2 linked regions of the Cricetulus griseus genome follow. The protein of the gene in region 1 interacts with the protein of each later gene in a biochemical or structural test. Links are inferred from orthologs where the notes say so. Each region holds a gene or a part of one and is shown on either strand. Other genes may lie near its edges. The genes, in order: Ptch1 and Shh.

Evidence for each region.
Region 2: the proteins of Ptch1 (region 1) and Shh are reported together in a solved structure, tested with the Homo sapiens proteins (5 studies listed by BioGRID and IntAct, with this or other methods). The link is inferred for Cricetulus griseus from reciprocal best matches to the Homo sapiens genes PTCH1 and SHH.

What each region holds. Positions count from the first base shown.
Region 1 is NC_048596.1:281,136,107-281,146,756, reverse strand, and holds the start of Ptch1 (protein patched homolog 1), read left to right. Parts: upstream 1-3,414; coding exon 3,415-3,573; intron 3,574-4,130; exon of another isoform or gene 4,131-4,484; intron 4,485-5,138; coding exon 5,139-5,331; intron 5,332-5,816; exon of another isoform or gene 5,817-5,923; intron 5,924-10,650.
Region 2 is NC_048601.1:94,251,002-94,260,854, reverse strand, and holds the start of Shh (sonic hedgehog protein), read right to left. Parts: upstream 8,636-9,853; coding exon 8,336-8,635; intron 3,539-8,335; coding exon 3,277-3,538; intron 513-3,276; coding exon 1-512.

The sequences.
Region 1 (10,650 bases):
AACCAAAGAAGTAAAAAAACAAAAAACAAAACAACAATAACAAAAAAACCTGGGGGGTGGCGGGAGGAGCAGCAAATGCTTAGGAGTAAAACATTGTAAGGAATTTGAAAGACAGCTTTCATAGGGCTATGTGGTTACCTGCCTGCCATATTTAGGGCCAGCTTCAAATTTAAAATCAGTCTGACCTTTGAACTCGGGGTGTCACCCTCAAGATCCGGAAAACAGTCCAATTTCCAAGAGTACGAAATGTGAAAGCTAAAGTAGCGGTCCAGCCTTTTCTGCTTTCTGCTGATAACCAAACTGTCAAGAGAGAAGGATTTTACTCCCAGGCTTAACAGCTCTGCCTCCAGCGCTTTGCTCTCTTTTAAGAGTGTCCTTCCCCTCACCCTGCGTGCCTTCCCTACAAGATTTTTCAGCTGCACTTCCGAAACTCAGTCGTTGGAAAATCACGTGCTCCCTGGTGTTAGGAATTTTGAATTTCCGCGCTGGCCCCCAGGTCCTGTTCCTTATCCTGTGAGCACCCCCAAACGCTTCTACTCTGTCACTGTTCTCTCAGATTCACCACTCGGCTTCAGGAACCGCACAGGTTTTATGCGTTTGGGATTCGAGATGGCTAAGAGTTCTAGGAAAGCCCGGAAAGAGATAAGGCTAAAGGAGAGGCAGCCTAGGCAGCGACCAAAGACTGCAACGCGGTGGGAGGGGAAGTCCCCCCTCCCCACCTCCGAGCCGCGTGCACCGCCGGTGGCCGCGCACCCCTGCATCGCCCCTGCCTAGCCGCCGCCTGCGCCACTGAATGGAAGGGCCGAAGCGCAGCCATTGGTCGTCAGCAGGGAGGCCGTGCGCGCATTGGGCAGCACGAGGGGGCCGGGCCGCCTTCAAGAATGTACTACGGCGTGTCCGGCACGTCTGTCCGCGCCGGCCAAGCGCGCACACCGCTTAGGGCCCGGGAAGGCGGTGCGAACGGCGTGAAGGGCTCGGGGCGCGCAACCCCAGCGGGCCGACCCGGTTACTTGCTGCGCCCGCGCCCCGCGCAGGCCCCAGACCGGAGCGCGCGTGCGCGTGAGCGATAACGCGTGCGCGCGGACAGGCCTCTGGGTCTGGGTCACGTGGCGGAGCAGGCTCCGCCTTCTCCCCCGCTCCTCCCCCTTTCCCTCCATCTGGGTTTCTTTCTTTCCTTTTCTTCTTATTTTTTTTTTCAATGAACACACACCGTGTGCATCTTAAAGCCACACCGCCCCATTTCACGGCTCCAGTTGGCTTCTCACCACTCCAGTTCCCTCTGCAGTTCAAGTGGGAGAAGAAATGTAAGAGGATGCCGCAGAACCCAGTGCTTCTGGGTCTGGTGTCTGCTGTAGGGAGGAACTTGAAAACTTATTGAAAATGGAATGTGCTTTCTTCAGTGGTCCCCCCCTCCTTAAAGAGTATAGTTGTGCAGACAGTTTAATTTGTCTCTGGCTCCACGACACCCAGCCGACCCCCCCCTCCTGTGAAGGTCGCATGATTTTTGTTCAACGTAAAGCCAATCCCAGGGATGTCTTGGCGACACTGGAAGCAATATCGGGACAAACCCTCGCGATCTGTGCACAATTTGTTTCAAATGAATCCGACATCAAAGCCTTTATTCTCTCCTACGTCACACTATTAAACATTACAGGATGCATACCGAGTTTTATTTTTTAAAAGCCTAAAACTGACTTTATTTAAGAATGTGATTAATTAAAAGTGGGGGTCCAGATGAAACCCAAATAATCTGGAAATCTCTCAATTCCATTTCTCTGGGCTGCTGAGACTGGTATATATATATATACATACCAATTTAAATATATGTTACAGATTCAAATTTTAAAAGCCTCTACTTCTACGAGTCTATGAGTTCTCTTTACAAACTCTTTCAAATTGGACTGTGCTTTTGTGTATGTTTGGTTTTTTTGCGGGGGGGGTGCTAGGGGATTTAAAAAAGGGTGGCTTTTCCCAACATTCTTGCTCTCCTCTTTAACTTTCCATTTTGTTTATCTTAATACGAGGCGTTGTTCCCTGCGAGAGTCTAAGTCTTGCCTTTGGTTATAAAAGAAAAGAGGAGGAAAAAAAAAATTGGCACACACGGGCGCACTATCCACCGCCCTGTCATTATTGGTGGAGGCCTGGGAATTCAAGGCGGACCTCCCAGTATTTGCTGCTGCTTGAGGCCAAAATGTCTCTAAAAGGGTTTTCTTTGAGGAATCTCAGAAATTGTTTAAGCGCTTAAAAAAAAATTACATATCCCCCGTGTCTATCGCGAGGCAAATGCTCCTGTATGTGTGAACGTGTGCGTGTGTGTTTGCGCGCGCGCTCGCAAAAGACGTCTCACAAAAAGAAGACACTGTTGAAAAGAAAAGAAATAAGAAAGAAAGGAGGGGAGCATTCCTTAATGGAAGTATTGCATGAGAGAAGGTTGGCGCAGAGCGAGTCCGTCCTCCCCCCCCCCCAAGCCGGGGATGCACACACGGGGGTTGCCTACCTGGGTGGTCTCTCTACTTTGGTGAGCTGTTGCTAAGCAGCTAATAATAGTCATGTTTGCTGAGTAATTTCTGCCCTCCGCGAGCCAATCGCGTCGCAGAAACCCAAGCCATCTGACAGCCCCGGGGGCGGGAGTTCCAGCCTTTTTCTCTTTCGCTCGCTCTCTCCCCCTCCACCCCCTCCCCTCCTCCTCCTCTTTCTCCAAATGGAGAGAGTTCTTTTTTTTCTTCTTCCATCTCATCTATTGAGTCAAGGAGCTGCTGCGGCCGCTGCCCGCTGCACACACACAGAGCGGAGTCCCCAGGTCCCGGGAGCGAGAGAGGCGCGCAGCGCGGGGGCAGAATGGTCCAGCGGGTCGGTGAGGAGAACAAGAAAGCAGAGTCCGGGACCGAGCAGCCACCGCGAACCCAGCAGTCCGAGAACGAGCAGCCGCTTCAGAAGCCGCCACCGCCAACCTCAGCCGCAGCAGCAGCAGCGGGGGCAGCGGCTGCCCCGGCCCGGCATCGCTGAGATCCGCCGGACACCGTCGCGTCGCCGGCAGCGGGCGCCTAGGGACCCAGAGCGAGTGGCGGGGGTCTGCGCGCGCCTTCTGCCGTGAAGGGGTCGCGGCGCGGGGCGGGGACGTCTGGGGGGACTTGGGGACCGCGAGGCGCGCCCTGGAAGCGCCGGCTCTCGCCTTCCCGCGAGCTGGATGTGGGCAGCAGCGGCCGCAGAGACCTCGGGACTCACGCGCAATGTGGCAATGGAAGGCGCAGGGTCTGAGTCCCCGGCATCGGCCACGGCCGCAGCACCCGCAGCGCCCGCCGTGTGAGCGGCAGCAGCGGGTCTGTCACCCGGAGCCGGAGTCCCCGGCGGCCAGCAGCGTCCTCGCGAGCCGAGCGCCCAGGCGCGCCCGGAGCCCGCGGCGGCGGCGGCAACATGGCCTCGGCTGGTAACGCCGCCGGGGCCCTGGGCAGGCAGGCCGGCGGCGGGAGGCGCAGACGGACCGGGGGACCGCATCGCGCCGCGCCGGACCGGGACTATCTGCACCGGCCCAGCTACTGCGACGCCGCCTTCGCTCTGGAGCAGATTTCCAAGGTGCATGTCTGTTCCCTCCTCCTCCTCCACTCTTCCCTCTTCTTCCTCTTTGGGATCCCTGCCACACACGCACACAGACACCCTCCTGAGAAAGCAGAAGACAAGTGAAGGTTGAAAATTTCAAACCCTCCCTCCGGACTTCGGAGGAAAGGGCTGTCTGAGGTCCGCAGGGGGTGGAGGGGTGCGTGCGTGCGTGTGTGTGTGCGTGTGTGGTGTGTGCGCGCGCACACGCCCTCCCTGGTGTGCCTTTTCCGGAGCTTTGGAAACCGTCCTGAGTGGACCACCTCCAGGGCGGCCGCAGTGCAGCACTGCCCCCGGCCTCAGCGCCCTTCACCCGCGCCCCTGCCTCCGTTGCAGCGTAAACCTCCGCGTTGCCACATTTCTTAACCTCTTCGTGGTGGAGGCGGAGTGGAGAGAGGCGGAGAGAGGCAGAGGGGAGGGAGCCAAAGTAAAGGTGGTTTCCTTTTTTGGCAGCCGGTTCTGCTTTCCTTGAGCTTGAAATCTCTGCTCCCTTAAAAATTATTCTCGGGAGAGGACGTCCCCTCTCTTCCAGGTTTTGGGCCGCCTCTTCTCCCAGCCTGCCGGGGAGAAGGGCAGTTGTAAACAAGTTGCCACCTTAAATCTTCGGTGCTGGTGTGAGGAACGGCCGGGTTCATTGTGTTTACGAGGCTGGCTGAAATGTGTGGAATCCAGGGAAGGCGAGCACCTAGCCTGGGGCCCGCTGGGGCCCTGGCCAGCACCAGGGCTCCGCCATCCCGACAGCAGCCTGCGCCTAGTCAGGACCCCCGCCGGCGCCAGCCTGGGCCTCTTCCCCGTATACTCGGCTGTTTTTTTTTTAAAAGATTTCACCAGGAGGGAGTGGGAGAGGAGGGAAAGATCCTTATGGCCGCCCTCTTCAGAGCACAAATAGTGTAAGTTGCAGATGGCTGCTGCACTTCCTAACTGAGCTCCCGCGGAGTCTCCCAAGGCCGTGGAAAAGTGTGTGGAGTGAACCCGGCTGCCGGGCTCACCACGTGGACCCCCGCGTGCAACCACCCGCCAGGCCGGGGGCCAGGTGGGCCACGGTAGCTTTATATTGTCCCTAAGTGTGCTTGCGCTCTTCACCCGCCCTCCGGGGTACCCAAGGAGGCCAAAGGCTGGAGCCGGATTTAGGGCAAGGGGGCAGTCGTGGCCTGGTGGTTTAGTGTTGGGCTTCTCAGCTAGGATCACTCAGGCCCTCTCTCTCCAGGTCCTCGATACTAGTGCCTGCCTGTCTTTGGCGGTTCCTCTGCTAGCCTCTCTCCCCAGCACCCCAAGTCTCATTCAGGAAAGTGCTCAGGCCATGCGTGGGGATACCCCGTGGTACCTAGAGTGCAGTTCTCACGCTGCAGCCTCGCTCTAATTTACAACCTAGTCCCCCACGCCTCCAGGGCTCCCTCTGACTAGTCCTGGTTCCAGCCCCGAGGGCAAGTCCCTGCGCCACGGCCGCCCACGCCCCCCACTGTTGGGGGGGGGATCCCCAGGCGGGTGTGCGCCGCCGTTAGCGACTCCCGGGCGTTCACTCCTCCCTTCTGCTTCGTCCCCAGGGGAAGGCTACCGGCCGGAAAGCACCGCTGTGGCTGAGAGCGAAGTTTCAGAGACTCTTATTTAAACTGGGTTGTTACATTCAAAAAAACTGCGGCAAGTTTTTGGTTGTGGGTCTCCTCATATTTGGGGCCTTCGCTGTGGGATTAAAGGCAGCTAATCTCGAGACCAACGTGGAGGAGCTGTGGGTGGAAGGTAAGAGACCCCGGCGCCGCTGGCGCGTCCTCTGTCTTCCTTCCCTTCCCAGTGTTTGATAAAGATATTTGCCAGCCTGCACCTAGAGCCTCGCCGTGGCCAGCGAAGCCCCTGCCCGCACCAGGGGCGACTGTTTATTGTTTGCATGCCTGGCCTGCAGCCAGGCCCGCCCGACAAAGGCCTCGCTGTAATCTACTCGGGGCGCTGCGCCTTGCTAGGTGTGGTGGGAGAGAGTGGCGGGGGCGCGAGGCCCCTGCGCGGGACGGACCACTCGGCAGGGCCGAAGGGGGGTGGTCCCTGAGGTCCGCCAGCTCCGCCCGCCTGGCTCTGGCCAGGGTGCCAGCGGCCGGAGGAAGGCCTCTTGGATCTGGGATGCTGGGATAGGCTTCCTTCCCTCCCCCCACCCACCCACCGCGTCTGCGGAGAAAGGAGAGGGGGTGGAGGGCAAGGCCACCCCTCTAGCTGCAGGGAGTGTGCGCGCCCCCGGGGCGCGCGGGGGGCGGGCGCCGCGCAGGCCTGCGGAGGCGGCCGCGTGTGTGGTCCTGTTTTTGGACAGCTTTCAACTCTGGGGGAAAAAAACATTTGTCTCAAGGTACAAAAAAAAAGGGGGCGGTGGGGGGATTGAAGAAAAAATAGTAAAGCACAAACTGGAAAGCGTGTTTGCAAAGTAGATTAATGTTTCCTCGCGGATGGGGACTTTTTAAATGGAATTATTCGGGGGGAGGCTGTGTTTGGCAGTCTTGCAAGAAAGAAATGTGTTTTTTTAAAGAATGCAGGTTTGATGGGAGGGGCGACGGGAGCTCCCCCTGGGGTGTGTGTGCCGGTCTTTTATCCACGTTCTTCGATTTGGGGGGTTGGGGACCTGCTTTAGAAAAGGACTTGTAAATTGAAAATAGGTTCTCCGGTTCCCCCTACCCCCACCACCATGAATGCTTTTACGTCCTTTGTGATCATAGACTTTCTTTTCCTTTTCTTCTTCGTTGGTCGTTTCTCAGTTATTTCTTTTAAAAGTATCAATCCCTTATTTGAAAACATTTTAGCCTCTGGCAAACACTGCTTTGGGCAGATGTTTCAACCCCAAATATCTGGTGCTTATCTACCACCCAGGACAGAACTTGGAAAGCGGAGTTTTTGAGTAATTCCTCAGGATGGTCTTGGAAACTAACCTTCCAGAACCTTCCCCTTTTGGTGTTTTGCAAACTAGTGGTGGAGTATTTAGTTGAAAGGTGACAATTAAAATAATAGTTGAAAAGTGACAATTAAAATAATAATCCCAATCGTTAAAAGCAGAACGCATTCCTGCCTTGAGCAGCTTGGTTAATGAATACAAAAGTGTCTTTTGGATTGATTCCATTAGGTAATTTACTCCACTTTGCTTCCTTGTCATTGGTAGTTCAGGGAATAGTTTTATTGAGCACCCACTAGTCCCCTAGCAACAAATTTCCTGAGTTTCTATACTGTGATAGGAGACACTGCCCAGTGCCAGTGCCCTGTGCCTCAGCCTACTGGAATCCAGTGCATTTTCATTGGATTTAGATTTACACTTGAGCTGGTCCATGAAAATTAAATTAGGAGAAAAGAGACTTTAGTGGAGGTCTTGAGGCAGGCTGGGGTACTGGAGAGACAAGAGGCAAGAGGGTGTTGCAGTAGAACAGGCCACTGCCTGCAAGACCGGGGAAAGACCCTGCAGTGTAGAAGCCGAGTTCCAGGGTCCACAGTAGGATTTTTCTACACCAGTGACCATGCAACGATTTGGTTTTTAGTAGTTGGAGCAGTTGTTTCAAGAATGACAGGAGAGTTATGAAGAGGGACTCCAGGTTAAGTGGGAAGGTGTTCAGTGAGGGGGACACGCCCTACTAGGCTAGGACACACCCTGGCCTGCTTTTGGCATCTTAAGGACCCCTCCCCCCAGCTAATACAGGGGATAACCTGGGGTACCAGCATGATAGGCAAACCCTCCTTCTCTGAGCCACTCCAACTCCCCAACTCCAGGCTCAGATCTTAGCTCCTTCCTGCATTGGCATTTTAGTACAGCTCATTGCTCTTGGGAACACTTAATGCTTTTGAGCAACCACCATACTCCAGGTAGTATGTATTTTTTGCAAGCCTTTACTTAGTAAAGTACCTACTACTTTAATTTTTTGTAACATGATCGTATATATCTATATGATGTTCCGTATAACAGACGTACCAAGACCCTTTCAGATAATGACTGGGAGTGGTCATCCACATTGTCATTCCTGTTCACTTTTCCTACCATTGGTTTAGGTCTTTAGTCTAGGGTTGCCTTGGCCTCCTCATTCACTTATTTCTTGATTTCCTTCTACAGGAAACAAGTTTCATAGATTAAACTGGATGTGGGGAACCCAATGCCACAGTAACTGGAGGTCTTGTTTATGGCCTATGGAATTTAGTGTTACTCTGTGAGCCTTTGCTTTTCGGAATAAATGCCAGTGGCTATGGGTGGCACTGGAGGTCAGTGAATTACAGTGAGCAGTAGGCCCAAGTTTGGGTTCCATCTTTGCTTCAGTCTCTTAGATAAGTTCTTCATCACTGTTAGCAAAGTCATCTGCTACCTGATGCTTCCTCCAGGTCCTGGGTGTGATTATAGGAGCCGAGAGTTTGCTGTGCGCCCCAACAAGATGAGGAGAGGTCTCTCATGTCCCCAGTTAAGCATAAGAAGGGAGGAAAGACAGATTATAAGAGAGGAGGAAGACAGTTTAGAAAGGCTGCTATTTCGCCTGTGAGGAGTTGCCTTTGTGCTTGTATGTGCGTCTGTGCACGAGCACTCTGTCTGCCAAAATACATATCTTCAGGAAATGCAGGAGTCTCCTCCACAGCCTTGACTTCATGGCTTCCTGAAGAAATGTGGCTTCACCACAAAGATGAAGCCGTTGTTTCCCTTGCTCCCGCCCTGCTCACAGGTACACACCACACACCGCCTATGCACGCATAAGTGATAACGTTTGATTCTGTTAAGATGCTGGTTTAATGATTGCCTTTCAAGACACTGCCCGTTGTTTGTGAGGTGCCAACCTGATTGTTTTTTGCATGTCACAGATGTCAACAAGAGCTTACTTGTGAATGGACCAAAAAGGTTTGATAAAGACGTTGGTGTCGTTGGGGACCTACTGTCACATAAACACAAGAGTCACAAATGTTTTTTGTTTGTTTTGTTTTTTCCAAGGAGAGTATTTGGTCAGTGTGAGTTCTCTGTGCCTACTTTGCACCAGGCACTTTGTCCAAAACTCTTGAGAAAAAGGGTGGTGACAGTCTATAGATGAGTCAATAGATGGTTAATTGCCAGGTTGTTAGGGAAATCAGCTGGGATTTCTGGATGGTCCCGGACTTGGGAAGGTGGAGGTGAGGGACATTCTAGGCAGAAAGAAGAGGATGGATGAAGGCTCAAAAATTGTATGTGTGTGTGTGTGGTTGGGTGGGTGGCCTTCAGTATTAACCTTCCAGTGACAGAGTGAATGAAGTGGGGGTTGGGCATCTGGTGGCTTGGAAGGTCTGGGAGGGGCCTGCAGGCTCTTTCTTCAAGATGCTGCCCTGGATCTGTGATTCTTAATTAACTCCTGGTACCCTTCCTGATACCAGAAGTGTTTGCATTTGCTTCTCAGGGTGCTGAAGGGAACTGGCTGTTTGTTTGTTATTTATTTTTAAACTGTGCCCATTTCTCAATGGTATTTCTTTTGACTTAGCCAATCTGCCCTCCTGCTCTCCTTAATATCTGCTTCCCTTTGCATACTCCCTCCCTCCCCTCCAGCTCTCTGTCACAAGTTTGTTGTCAAGGTACTCCTGTGACAGAATCTTCATTTATCTCCCCAAGATAAAAGCTTAGCCAGCGCCTGGCCCTCTTTTCTGAAAAGGGCAACAACCTTGAAATGACTCCATATTGCTCTGGTGTTTGGTTATTAAGGGCTGTAAGGCCAGTATGGGGGTGGAGAGAGGATGAGAATTTATTAAAGAGGAATAGAAGATTTTTGCTTTTTAAAAAATGCTTATTTGATGGGCAATCACACTGTCAAGTCTGTGCTGTGTGCTTTCTGTGTACTTTGCACAGTTAGAGCCATCATCCTTCAGTTCCTCACTCAGCCTTTGCACTCTTGCCATTTGGGTCTGTGTGATCCTCCACTGTGAGAGGCCCTGCACCCCATAGGGTGTTCGGGTTCTACCCACTGGGTCCCAGCCGCACTGTGCTCCTCAGGTCAGCATATTCACATTCATTGTTAGATGCCCCATTGGATGATAAATGCCTGGGTAGGAGACCTGTGCTTTGCCAGTCTAATTGGGTTTGCAAAGGCACCACTGTGTATGTGTGTGTCTGCACAGTTTGATGAACAAGTATGGTTATTCAAAGAGCAAGTGTACATACAGGAAAGGGTTGCAACCAAGTTGTTGGTATTCCTTTTCTTCTCAGAGAAAAGATGAATGACAAGTAAAAGCCGCCAATAACTGCTTGAAAAAAATGAGCAGGTGGCTCAGGTATTCCTCACAAAGGGGGGTAGCTGGTGAGCCCTGACCCCATCTCTGGGCTGCCCACCATTCTCGACCCACCAAGAAGTTCTTTCATAAGCCAGTTTGGGTCATGGGCTGTTTCAGATGCATCCAGCGCCGCTTGGAGCTTCCAGGAGATGACAGCTTCCAGATGTATGAGCCGCCTGGTCTGTGTGTTTAGGTTATGCACCACAGCTGATGCCGAGATTAATGCTGGCTGGAGAGCTGGGGAGATTGGTCTGCTTTCCACAATACCGTGTTTATATTTCATTTGGATTTCTCCTTCAGTGCTGACCTGCCTGTGACCCCTGGGGCCCTGTCCACTTGGGGTGAGGTGGTACTTACTTGCTCTTGCTTAATTTCTCTTGCTGGGGGGGGGGTGCCCATGTTCTGTAGAGAAAGGGGTTTTTGGATAGAGAGGGCCTTCTTGTGGCTGCCTCCAACATGGTGAGTACCTGAGAGTGAGCCCCTAAAGACTGTGCTCAGCTCAGGAGGTGATGTGTCAGGGCCCTGAAATACAAGAGTTTTCAGTTATTTTGAAGGAGACCAGATTTCATGGGAGCCATTTTGCACAAAAGTCTTTTATCTCTTAGCAACACTGTTTTTTGACAATTTAAGGCAGTGGGGGGGGGGTGAGGGGATTATCCCTAAAAATCACGCTGCCCCTAGGATTCTCATGTTCTACTGCTGTCACTTCCAGCACCGGCTGCAGACTCCTGACAGGTTGTTCCCTTTCTCCTCCCTTCTGTCTCTTGTTACCCACTCCTCTGCTCCTTGCTCCCACCCACTCACTCCTAAACTGCTCAAGTTCATCTCCTC
Region 2 (9,853 bases), on another chromosome or scaffold:
GTGCTCCTCGATGACTGCGTAGCACGAGGCCAGCACACGGTTGATGAGGATGGTGCCGTGCGCCGTCAGTGGCGCGTACGCGCCCGCGGCCTCCTCGTGCAGCGTCACGCTGTGCACCGCGGCTGGCAGCAGCCGGCGGTCCCCGCCGCGTTCGGCCACCACGTACACACGCTGGCCGGGGCGCACGCGGCTGGCGAAGAGCGCGTTGGGTCCGGGTGCGGGGCCCGCGTCTCCCGTATCGTTGTGCGGCGCCACGAAGAGCAGGTGCGCAGCGGTGAGCAGCAGGCGTTCGCGCGGCTCCCGGGTCTCGATCACGTAAAAGACTTTCTTGGCGCCTTCGTCGCGGTCCAGGAAGGTGAGGAAGTCGCTGTACAGCAGCCGGCCCTGGTCGTCAGCCGCCAATACGCGGTCTCCTGGACGTAGGTCCTTCACCAGCTTGGTGCCACCCTGCTCCAGGTGCACGGTGGCGGATCCCGGGAAGCAGCCCCCAGATTTGGCCGCCACGGAGTTCTCTGCAGGGAAGAGAGACGGGGTGTTGAGTGACAAAGGAGACAGGTACGCCCGGGGTGTTCACGTGCGTGTGCGTGTGCGTGTGCGTGGCCGTGCAGTCCCTGCCCCACTCGGCTCGACCAGGGGCGCGCGTGTGATGGGCAGGGGAGGCGTGTTGGCGGGGAGGGGGGCGGTGTCTCGTAGATCCTGACTGGTCTAGCACACACCGCCCTGCGCCAGCAATCCCAGCGACCCAGGGGCTGAATTCAGACGACCCTTCAAGACTGCACCGGCACCAGGAAAAGTTAGCTGGCATCTCCTGCAGGAGGCGGGGTGGGGGTGGGGGCGAGGGGCACTCCCAACTTTCCTTCTGCCTCCTGTCCCATCCCCCTCTCTTGCACCAGCCTCGCCGCGAACCCAGAAGGATATTTACTCTCCACTTGATTCCTCAGGAAGCCTCCTTGAGCTCGCGCGGGCGCCGGGCGCACCCTTCTCTCTCGCGCCCGCTCTCCCGCCCGCCCGCCCGGACCGCAGGGCGCGGCGCCTCCCAGTGCGCGGTGCGAGGAGGCTGAGCCTGGGGAACCCGGGCTCTCCACCTCACCCCCGCCTCTGGCTTCCCCAGTGAGGGCCTTGGTTGTTGGCCAGTGGATGGCCAGGGGGTGGGGAGCAAAAAATAGCTGTAGTCGTTGTAGCAACTGGACAAACATTCCAGAGGTTTGCCCGAGGTGTGAAAGCCCAAGACTTGTGTGGATTTTCTAATTAAAATCCAATAAAGAGCCGGGTATTGTCATTGTGATTTGTGGGACAAATAGGAGACAGCCTTGGAAGAGGGGGCACTTCCATTTCTCCCTCTTCCCCATTTCTCAGCTCACTCTCCAGCTCGCTGGCCGCCCCCTCCCTATTTGCTCAGGTGCAGCCCCCCTCCCCCTCGTGCAGTTCACACACAGGGACTCTCCAGAAGCCCGGGCCTCACAAGGCACTATTTGCACAGCCAGGCCTCTCTTCCAAGCACTCGAGATGTGTATTTGAATTTTAAATGGCCAGGCCTGCTCAGAGCTCTGGAAGCGCGGGTTCTCAAGGCCCCTTGACTACCCGCTTTACCCAGCCCTCAGTAGCTCTCGGAGGCTCACTGTCCCGGAGGACAATAATTGAGGATGGGGCGGAGCGCAGGGGGCCAGGGAGGAGGGGTGGGGAGGTCCCAGTCTTCTTTGCATTCCAATCTCCAGGATCATGCTTTTGGCAAATAGAGATTGCCAGAAAGAATCTTCCTGCTGGAATTACAGAAGGCTTTTAATCTTCTCATCGGTTTCTCCGGCATGAAGTGCGGGGCTGGCGGTTGGAAGCACTCCATAGCCCCCCGGAATGCGACCCCGGGCTCTAGCTAGCCGGAGTCCTCGAGTCGCACGACCCCGCTTGACACACAAGGCGCGGTGTCCCAGCCCGCGTGCGCAGAATGCCAATGAGCTGCCCTCCACGGCCGGGGCCGGCCGGGGTCTGCACTGCCTGCGAGAGACCCTCGGAGCCGGATTACCGCTGCTCATTTGGGAGATCCCCTGGGGACTCCCGCCAGAGGGGCTCCAGGAACCGGGGTGGCAGGGAGGCCTTGTGTGTCCAGCACAGACTTGAGGTCCAGGGAAGAGCTTCCTCAGAGCCTGGGTCACTGCCACCTGCGTTTCTCACCCTGGCCCGAGAGGAGTGCCCGCTCCAGGGGGGTTCCTGGAGCTGACACCTTCCAACAGGCCTTCCCGTCACCGCTCCTGCGCGCGTCCTAGCTAGTTTTTGTTGCCAGAGCTACACTTTTCTTTACCTAGTCAGTGTGTTTCTTGATGTTTAGTTTCCAGCTAGTATGTGTTGTTAAAATACACTTTGGGGAACTGGGGAGCGGGAGGGGGCGGGGCGGGGCGCGGCGGTGGGGGAGGACAGACCTTTACGTAAAAGTCACCATGAACTGCCCTGCCCGGGCCACACAATCCCTAGAGGCTATTGCATGTGTGTTGGCTGCCTGCCTCCCTAGCTGTTCCTCCCCGCAACAGAGTGTGGCGTTGCAGGCCCAGGGAACTCCGCCTCTGGCTGGGGAACTCGAACTGGCTGGGGGCAGCGGCTCCGGTGGGATCGCCTTAGGCAGTCTAGCCAGGGGCTTTCTGCATGCCAGCTGGGCTTCTAATAGGAACGGATGCTTCTGGGCTTGTGGCCTCCCGAAGTTGGAAGTAGAGTTTATTACTTCCCACCAGGTCTTTCCCCCACAGACTTAGCCAGTAAGTTAAGTTAGTTTTGAATCCACAGGAGCCCAGCGGGGAGGAGCCAGTACCTAGGTTTATGTCCTGGACAGCCCCTTCGGACCTTGGTGTGTGTGTGTGTGTGTGTGTGTGTGTGTGTGTGTGTGTATTGGGGGTGGTGGTGCTGGCAGTAGGTTAAGCCCTAGATGAGAGGGAAGACCAAGGTGAGCTCTGGCTAAACCAGGAGAGTCTTAGGACCCCCTTCCACAATGCTCTCTGACACCTATGTCTCTATTACCGAAGCAGGGGGTTCCAGAAACCACACAGTCTGGGAATCTGGACATGTAGAGATGCTGGCCAGTGACCTAAAAGGTTGCAGAGGTACCTGGCTGGGGTGCGGTGGTGGGGTGTCTGCCATAGGATATATCCCCACAACAGAAATCTACTCATTTTCAAGAGCGTTCCTCTCTTTTCATGGCTTTTATGCCCCTCCCCCTTTTCTTCCAGACCTTCTGGTGGGAATGGTTGGAGGTGGAGGGTGGTGCAGAAAGGCCACGGGAGACTTGCTTACCCGCTTTCACGGAGCAGTGGATGTGGGCTTTGGACTCATAGTAGACCCAGTCGAAGCCAGCCTCCACAGCCAGGCGAGCCAGCATGCCATACTTGCTGCGGTCCCGGTCAGACGTGGTGATGTCCACTGCTCGGCCCTCGTAGTGTAGAGACTCCTCTGAATGGTGGCCGTCCTCATCCCAGCCCTCAGTCACTCGCAGCTTCACGCCCGGCCACTGGTTCATCACAGAGATGGCCAAGGCATTTAGCTTGTCTTTGCACCTCTGTTGGGAGAAGGAGGAAGTCTAAGTGACAAATACCTTAGTTGGTAGTTTCTCTACCAACCACAGACCTGGGACCCTGGGGTGGAGGCATCGCTGCTGCAGGAGAGGCGGGTTCTCCAGGAAACCAGCTGAGGGCCTGTCTCCAAGGCAGAAACTTAGATGCAGCTACATGGCCAAGGAATAAGAGCAGCTTTTCCTTGAGTGGGATCCCAAGTGTATCTCTTTAGTGGGGCAGAACTTCTGGTGCACTTTAAGAACCGGAAACCCTGCATTATTTGTGGAGGCCAGGCCTGCCTGGCCTGAAGAAAGCCAAGGCAACACTGAGGGGTAAGAAGCAGCCCAAGGACAAGCAAGCAGGTGAATGCGGGTGTCCAGCACAGGCAGGGCCAGAGGACAAACATTCTTGGTTCAGGCAGCCACATTCTTTCCCCCAAGGAGCTCCTCTCTGCCAGGCTTGTCTGGGGCCTGATTGTATTCGTGTTTTCTTTGACCGGTTCTCTTCCTCCCCTCTTGTTTTCTTGGCCCTGCACAGAATGGTGTCCGGCAAGTTTGAAGAGCAAACTTAAGAAGTGAATGGGGGTGGGGTGGGAAAGGTAGGGGGATGGGGAGCCAGAAAGGCCCAAGGCTTCCGAGCTCTGCCCAAGAGGAGGTCGGCTGTGGAACTCATGTTACTCCACTCCTGCCTTGCAGGGCAAGGTGGAACTTGGGATAGTGGGGGGCACTCTTGGCCCACATTTTAAAAAAGGTGTAATAAAAGGGAAGGAGCTGAGTCCTGTGTGTGTGTGGGGGGGCAGGAACTCATTGCTTGGAAGTTTATGGTGGCATGTTGATTGGGGCTTTGTGGCTGGAGACAAAATGGCAAGGGCACATTACCCAGAGAACTGGACCCCAGTGGAGGCAGGGATGATTTCAAATTGACTTCTGCAGAGGGTAGGGCTGATCGCCCACAATCCCTTAGGCTGAGAGGATTTCGGGCAGGTTGCAGGGGTGGGAGAATGACCCCTAGATGACAGACTCTAACTGTAGCCAGGAGGACTCTTGAAAGGACTGTTGCCCAGGCCTTTGGGGACAGACAAAAGGAAAAGTCATGTATACCTGGCAGCAGTAAAGCCCAGGAATATGATTGTAGAGTTAAACACACAATAAATAGGAGGGGTGTAGTAACAACAGGTCCGCTCTGGCAGGTTTCTGGGCCTGCCAGCGGTTTTTCTTTAGGAGAAAAGTCCAAAGGACAGAGTTAGAGTGAGGTCACCTTAGGGACTGAACGCGTTTCACATGAAAATCAATAAGTAAACCTGGGTCAGTTTAAAACTGAGATTCGAAGTCACTGCGCGCAGGCGCACACCACGGTACGCGCAGCTTATCTCCTCCTTCATTCCTGCTCGTACTCCACCCGCTCCCTTCTCTCAGCAGGGGGAAGCCAGCGAAGTAGCTTTAACAAGCTGCCTATCCCGCAGCAGGGGCAAGCTAGGGTAGGTTGAAGAGGGCTCCGGAGCTGCACCACTAGGGCAGACGCGGAGAATCCCAGGCAAAGAACTCCGGGCAGAGATGGGCCCTCGACTCGGACAGGCCAACGCCGATTGTCGCCTGAGTTGGCACCCGGTGCCCCACAGCCCTCCCCCGCACCAGGCCCTGCGCGACTCTGCAGGCAGATGCAGGGTACTCCCCCGCCCGCACTGGGAGGGAATGTCGCAGGCAAAGCCTGGAAGCTCAGCCCGGTTATTAATTCATTGGGTCGTGTGCCGCTAATCAAGCCCGACTCTGTGCAGCCACCGTGAAGCCCGGCAGGGTCACTGGGGCCCGGCTTTGTGTCTGCGGAGGCCAAGTTGTTCCTGGGCCTCCAGCCCACCTCCCGGATCTGCACACCGGTGCAGTTCATGAGCGCAGAGCAGGCAGGGACTGTCACCTCCAAAAGTGGGCTTCCCACATTGTGAGAGAGGCGGTGACCCACTTCAAGAGACTGTACTTTCTAAACACACCCCACTCCGTTCTTCCCCTCACGGGGGCGGGGACAGACCCCACTCTTCAGATCCACACCTGGTCTCCTCTTCCCAGCTAGCACCGAAGCACGCAGGGGACGTATTCAGCCAGGTTCCTCAGGTGGTTCCCCCTCCCCACCTGAGCCGGCAGAGCCCTCAGATCAGGCCCCTCGCGGCCTCCCACCCCAGGCCCCCTGGCCATGGGCACAACAGCCTGGCACTCTCTGGGGCCTGGCCTGCGCAAGGAGAGTGTCTGTCTGCGCTTCCCTCTCTGGAGTTAATATTAACCAGGAGCTCCCGCGATCCAGAACTGCTCTGAAAGTTCCACTGGGGACGATCCTGCCATGGTTGAGGGACTTGGGCTCAGTCACCTTAGAGAGACAGACTGGGAGGCAGGCGAGACTGAAGAGAGGGCTCAAGAGGGGCTGGCCGATGGCAGGTTCCCAGGAGAATGCTCAAACCCTGAGCCCGAGATCCTCTGGTTTCACCCCTTCACCTCTAACCTTCCTCCCGTTCCCTCTCAACTCTGCCAACCCGGAATAAGAGGCTGGTGAGGGTTGTACCAAGGAGAACTTCCAGACTGCCACCTTTACAGCCATCTTCATCTTTTGGGGGGAATCTTTGCGGGGTGGGTGAGAAGATCCTGGCCTGGCCTTCCCCACCCCCACTTCTGCTTCTCTAGCCTTTTTGTGTTGGGAACCAGAATAGCCACTGCCCAAGGGAAAAAAGTATTTGTTTTCGTTTCGTTCGTCTGAAGGAACTTGACAGAAGGTCAGAAGTTCAAATGCTGCTCGCGCGCGCACACAGCGGCGGCGGCGGCGGCAGCAGCGAGAGTGACCCGGTGTAGGGCTGCTGGGCCTTGGGTCCCGGGCCAGGAGGACCGGAGTGAGGGAAGGGACGTAGCTGGGGGTTTCCGTTTAGGTCGCTAAAGCAGGAGGGGCCGAGAAGGCGGCAGAAGAGTTGCAGCCCAGGTCAGGCCCGCCGAGCTCCTTGCTCTACGACTCCTCCCAGCTCAACCCCAGCCTGCGCGCCGAAGGGAATGAGCGCGCTCGCTCGGAGCCCTGCGCTCCGGCGGGGCGCGCTCGGCGCGTGCAGAGTCAGGGACAAGCAGCCAGAGCCCGGCCCCGCGCGCGCTGAAACCCTAGCCGCGGGATCGATAACGCAGGAGTAAGTGGAGCTGAAAGGCGTCTGCCACGCCACACGGCTCGGCGCTCTCGCAGCTCTGCAGCACGCAGAGGCCCGGCTCGCTGGGCAAGGGAGCCCGCCTGGGAGCCCCTCGCAGACCCACCCGGGCCGAGGGACCTTGCGTGTGCTCAGCAGGCCTCTTTGCTTTAGCATCGTCTCCCTTAAGCGTTCCCAAGGACCTACTCGCCCTGAGATACAATCCCCCCGGAAAGGGGGGGGCGGGGAGCTGGGCAACCAGGGAATAAACGCCCGGGGCTGGCGGGAGAACTCGCTCCTGCAAGCTGCACCAGCCCGGCGCCCCGCGGCCCGCTCAGAGTTAACTGTGGCTCGTGCAGCTTCCCGGCTCCTGCGCGCGCGCCCACACTCGCGGTCCAGATTTAAGGTGGTCGGGAGCAGATGAGGGAGATGGGGCAGGGGAGAATGGCCCTGTCCTCTGTCTCCAAGACCCCCCTCTCCTTGCTCCAGCTCTGGCCTGCCACCCTAAGGCTAGTCTACTAGGCTTCTCAGCCAGCAGATACCTGGTAGCGAGCTGCGCGTCGCAGAGCAGGCAGCTCCACGCTCGCTCTCTCCAGCCCCCACCCCCTGCTCCTGTGCCCCGCCAGCGCCGCTCCACCAGCCGCTTGGCGCACCTAGCCCTAAAGGTAGGACTTGAATATTTTAATAGGGCAGTAAAAAGGATGCTGACCTATATTTGCAAGGAAACCCATTTCCAGCTTCAGTCCTACGTGCATGGAGTTTCAGAAAGTCTTGATTTGGCTGGGAGATTGACAGCCTAGAAATCTCAAAGGAGGTGGGATGAGAAAGAGGATCATATTTTGCTTTGCCCTATGTCCATCCACCCTCGCCGCTACTAATATCTATTTATTCTCTTCGAATTCTTATGCAAGCAGGTTGAAAATTAAAGCGATTGCAAAACCAGCAAGTTCCAAGTCCCTCCCCTAAGGTACCGCGGGCTCTGGAGAACAGAGGAGCATCCTTAAAGAAATATCAATACATTCCCCCTGATCGGCACAATTGGGGACGACGGATCGCAGTCAGGCTATGGGATACAGTGGGGACAAGGCGAGCGCCCCCGGAGCTCCTGCCTTTTGTCAGAATTGCCCCCTGGCTTTCCCAGTTAGAGTTCTTTGGTGGTGGCAGCGTAAAGGGTGGGGGTGGTCTTGGGGAAAAAAAAAAAAACAGAAAAGGGAAAAGTAGGAGCTAGGAGCTGGAATGCTCCAGGGTGTGTTTGTAATGCCCTGGAGGCCCCTTGAAGTGTAAAGGGGCATCCCCATTCCCTCTATTTTCCGTCCCCGCTTGGAAAAGGCAGATACCCCCAGAGTGAAGGTCTCTCCAAGTTACAAGCTAGAATAGACACAGATAGAGGAGGCCACCCCGGAGACTAATTAAATGAGGGACGAAGCGAACCCCATCTTCTGGTGCCCCCACTCCACCCAAACCCTAAACTTCCTGCTGGACCCTTCACCTCCTTTCTCCTCCCGGAAGAGGAGTGCTAGGTGGGCAGGTGGGTGGGGAAGGAGAGGGCCAAGCCGCCTTCCTACCTGCCCAAAGAGCAAACAGCAGGGCTGACTGCTTGGTCACACGCAATCCCCCAGGGGAAGGAGACTGTTTCCCACCCGCAGTGGGTCTCTACCTGAGTCATCAGTCGGTCTGCTCCCGTGTTTTCCTCATCCTTAAATATGATGTCGGGGTTGTAATTGGGGGTGAGCTCCTTAAATCGCTCGGAGTTTCTTGTGATCTTCCCTTCGTATCTGCCGCTGGCCCCTAGGGTCTTCTCGGCTACGTTGGGAATAAACTGCTTGTAGGCTAAAGGGGTCAGCTTTTTGGGGTGCCGCCTCTTTCCAAACCCCCTACCGGGCCCGCACGCCAGCCCGGGGCACAGCAGCAGCGAGGAAGCGAGGACCACCAGAAGACATCTGGCTAGCAGCAGCATCTCGTCTGCGGAACCCGAGGACTTGCGAGCTGTCCCCGCGCGGTCTGTGCGCGAGCGGGTACGCGCGGGTGTGTGCGTGTGCGCTCCTCCTTGCGCTCGGCTCTCCCTTCCTTGCTCGGCTCGTTCGTTCCCTCTGGCGCTGCCTGGCTCTTTCTCTTCCTATATAACCTTGCCTGCCGCTGCTGCAGGGGACTTGTCTCCGATCGCCACCCAGACAGGGGCTGCGATGGCAGGCTGCCGGTCCTTGGTAACGGAACACATCGGAGTTGGGTCTCGAGACAGCAATTAAAAGACAAAAAGAGCCTGATTTTAAATGGTAGCAAGGCTGGAGAGCTTGTGAGACAGGCTGCCTTTCGCACTATATTATAGCTGGCAGGGGCGCATCTGATTGGCCAAGCCGCACAAGCTCGTCTTCTGATGTTAACCCTGAGAAAGACTACATTCCCCCCCCTCTTGCTGCTGTGGCTTTATTTTCACCTGAAGGCTTCCAGTTCAAAAAAAAAAAAAGAAAAAAGGTCTTTACTAAGGTAAAGGTGGGCGGGAGGGAGGAAGCCTATTTATTGGAATAATATCCCTCACTGCCGGCTTTGTGTGCATGGTTGCTTCCCCCTTACTTCCTTTAGAATGGTAGATGCTTTGGTTAGAGCCAACATAAGTTTTTAAAGGACAGTCCAGATGCGCCCCCTCCAAGCTTCAACCATCAAACATTCTCTCAATTGTTTGAGTCCAAAGCTGCCTCACTCTTGTTTACCTTATTTGCACCCTCACCCCCAGATGTGAGTGCACAGGCTAGATGTCACTGGGTTGTGAAAAAAAAAAAAGCTCACCCTGAGTGTCTCCTGATTATTTAGCATCTTTAGGTAGAGGGTAATCACAAGTGGCGTGACCTAAAGCGTTGCTGTTTTAAGTGCCTTGGGGAAATTTGAAAATACTGTCCTCTGTTGTGTTTCAGTGAATGCATCCTAGGCAAACCTCTGCAGATGGATGCATCTGAGCTGAGGGGCAGGTACAGTGGGGACTGCAGGATGGGGTAGGGTGCACAGGCCCAGCGTGTCTAGGTGCTACACCTCAGCATAGGGATGGGGGAAGGTCAGGCTGGTGTGTGCCTGGTGGGTAGAGGCCATTGTGCCTGGGGCAACGGAGAGTGGGCAAGGCCCACCCCTACAATCAGTCCCAGCTAAGTGCAGGCCTGGGGTAAGCTGAATGTGGAACTCAGGT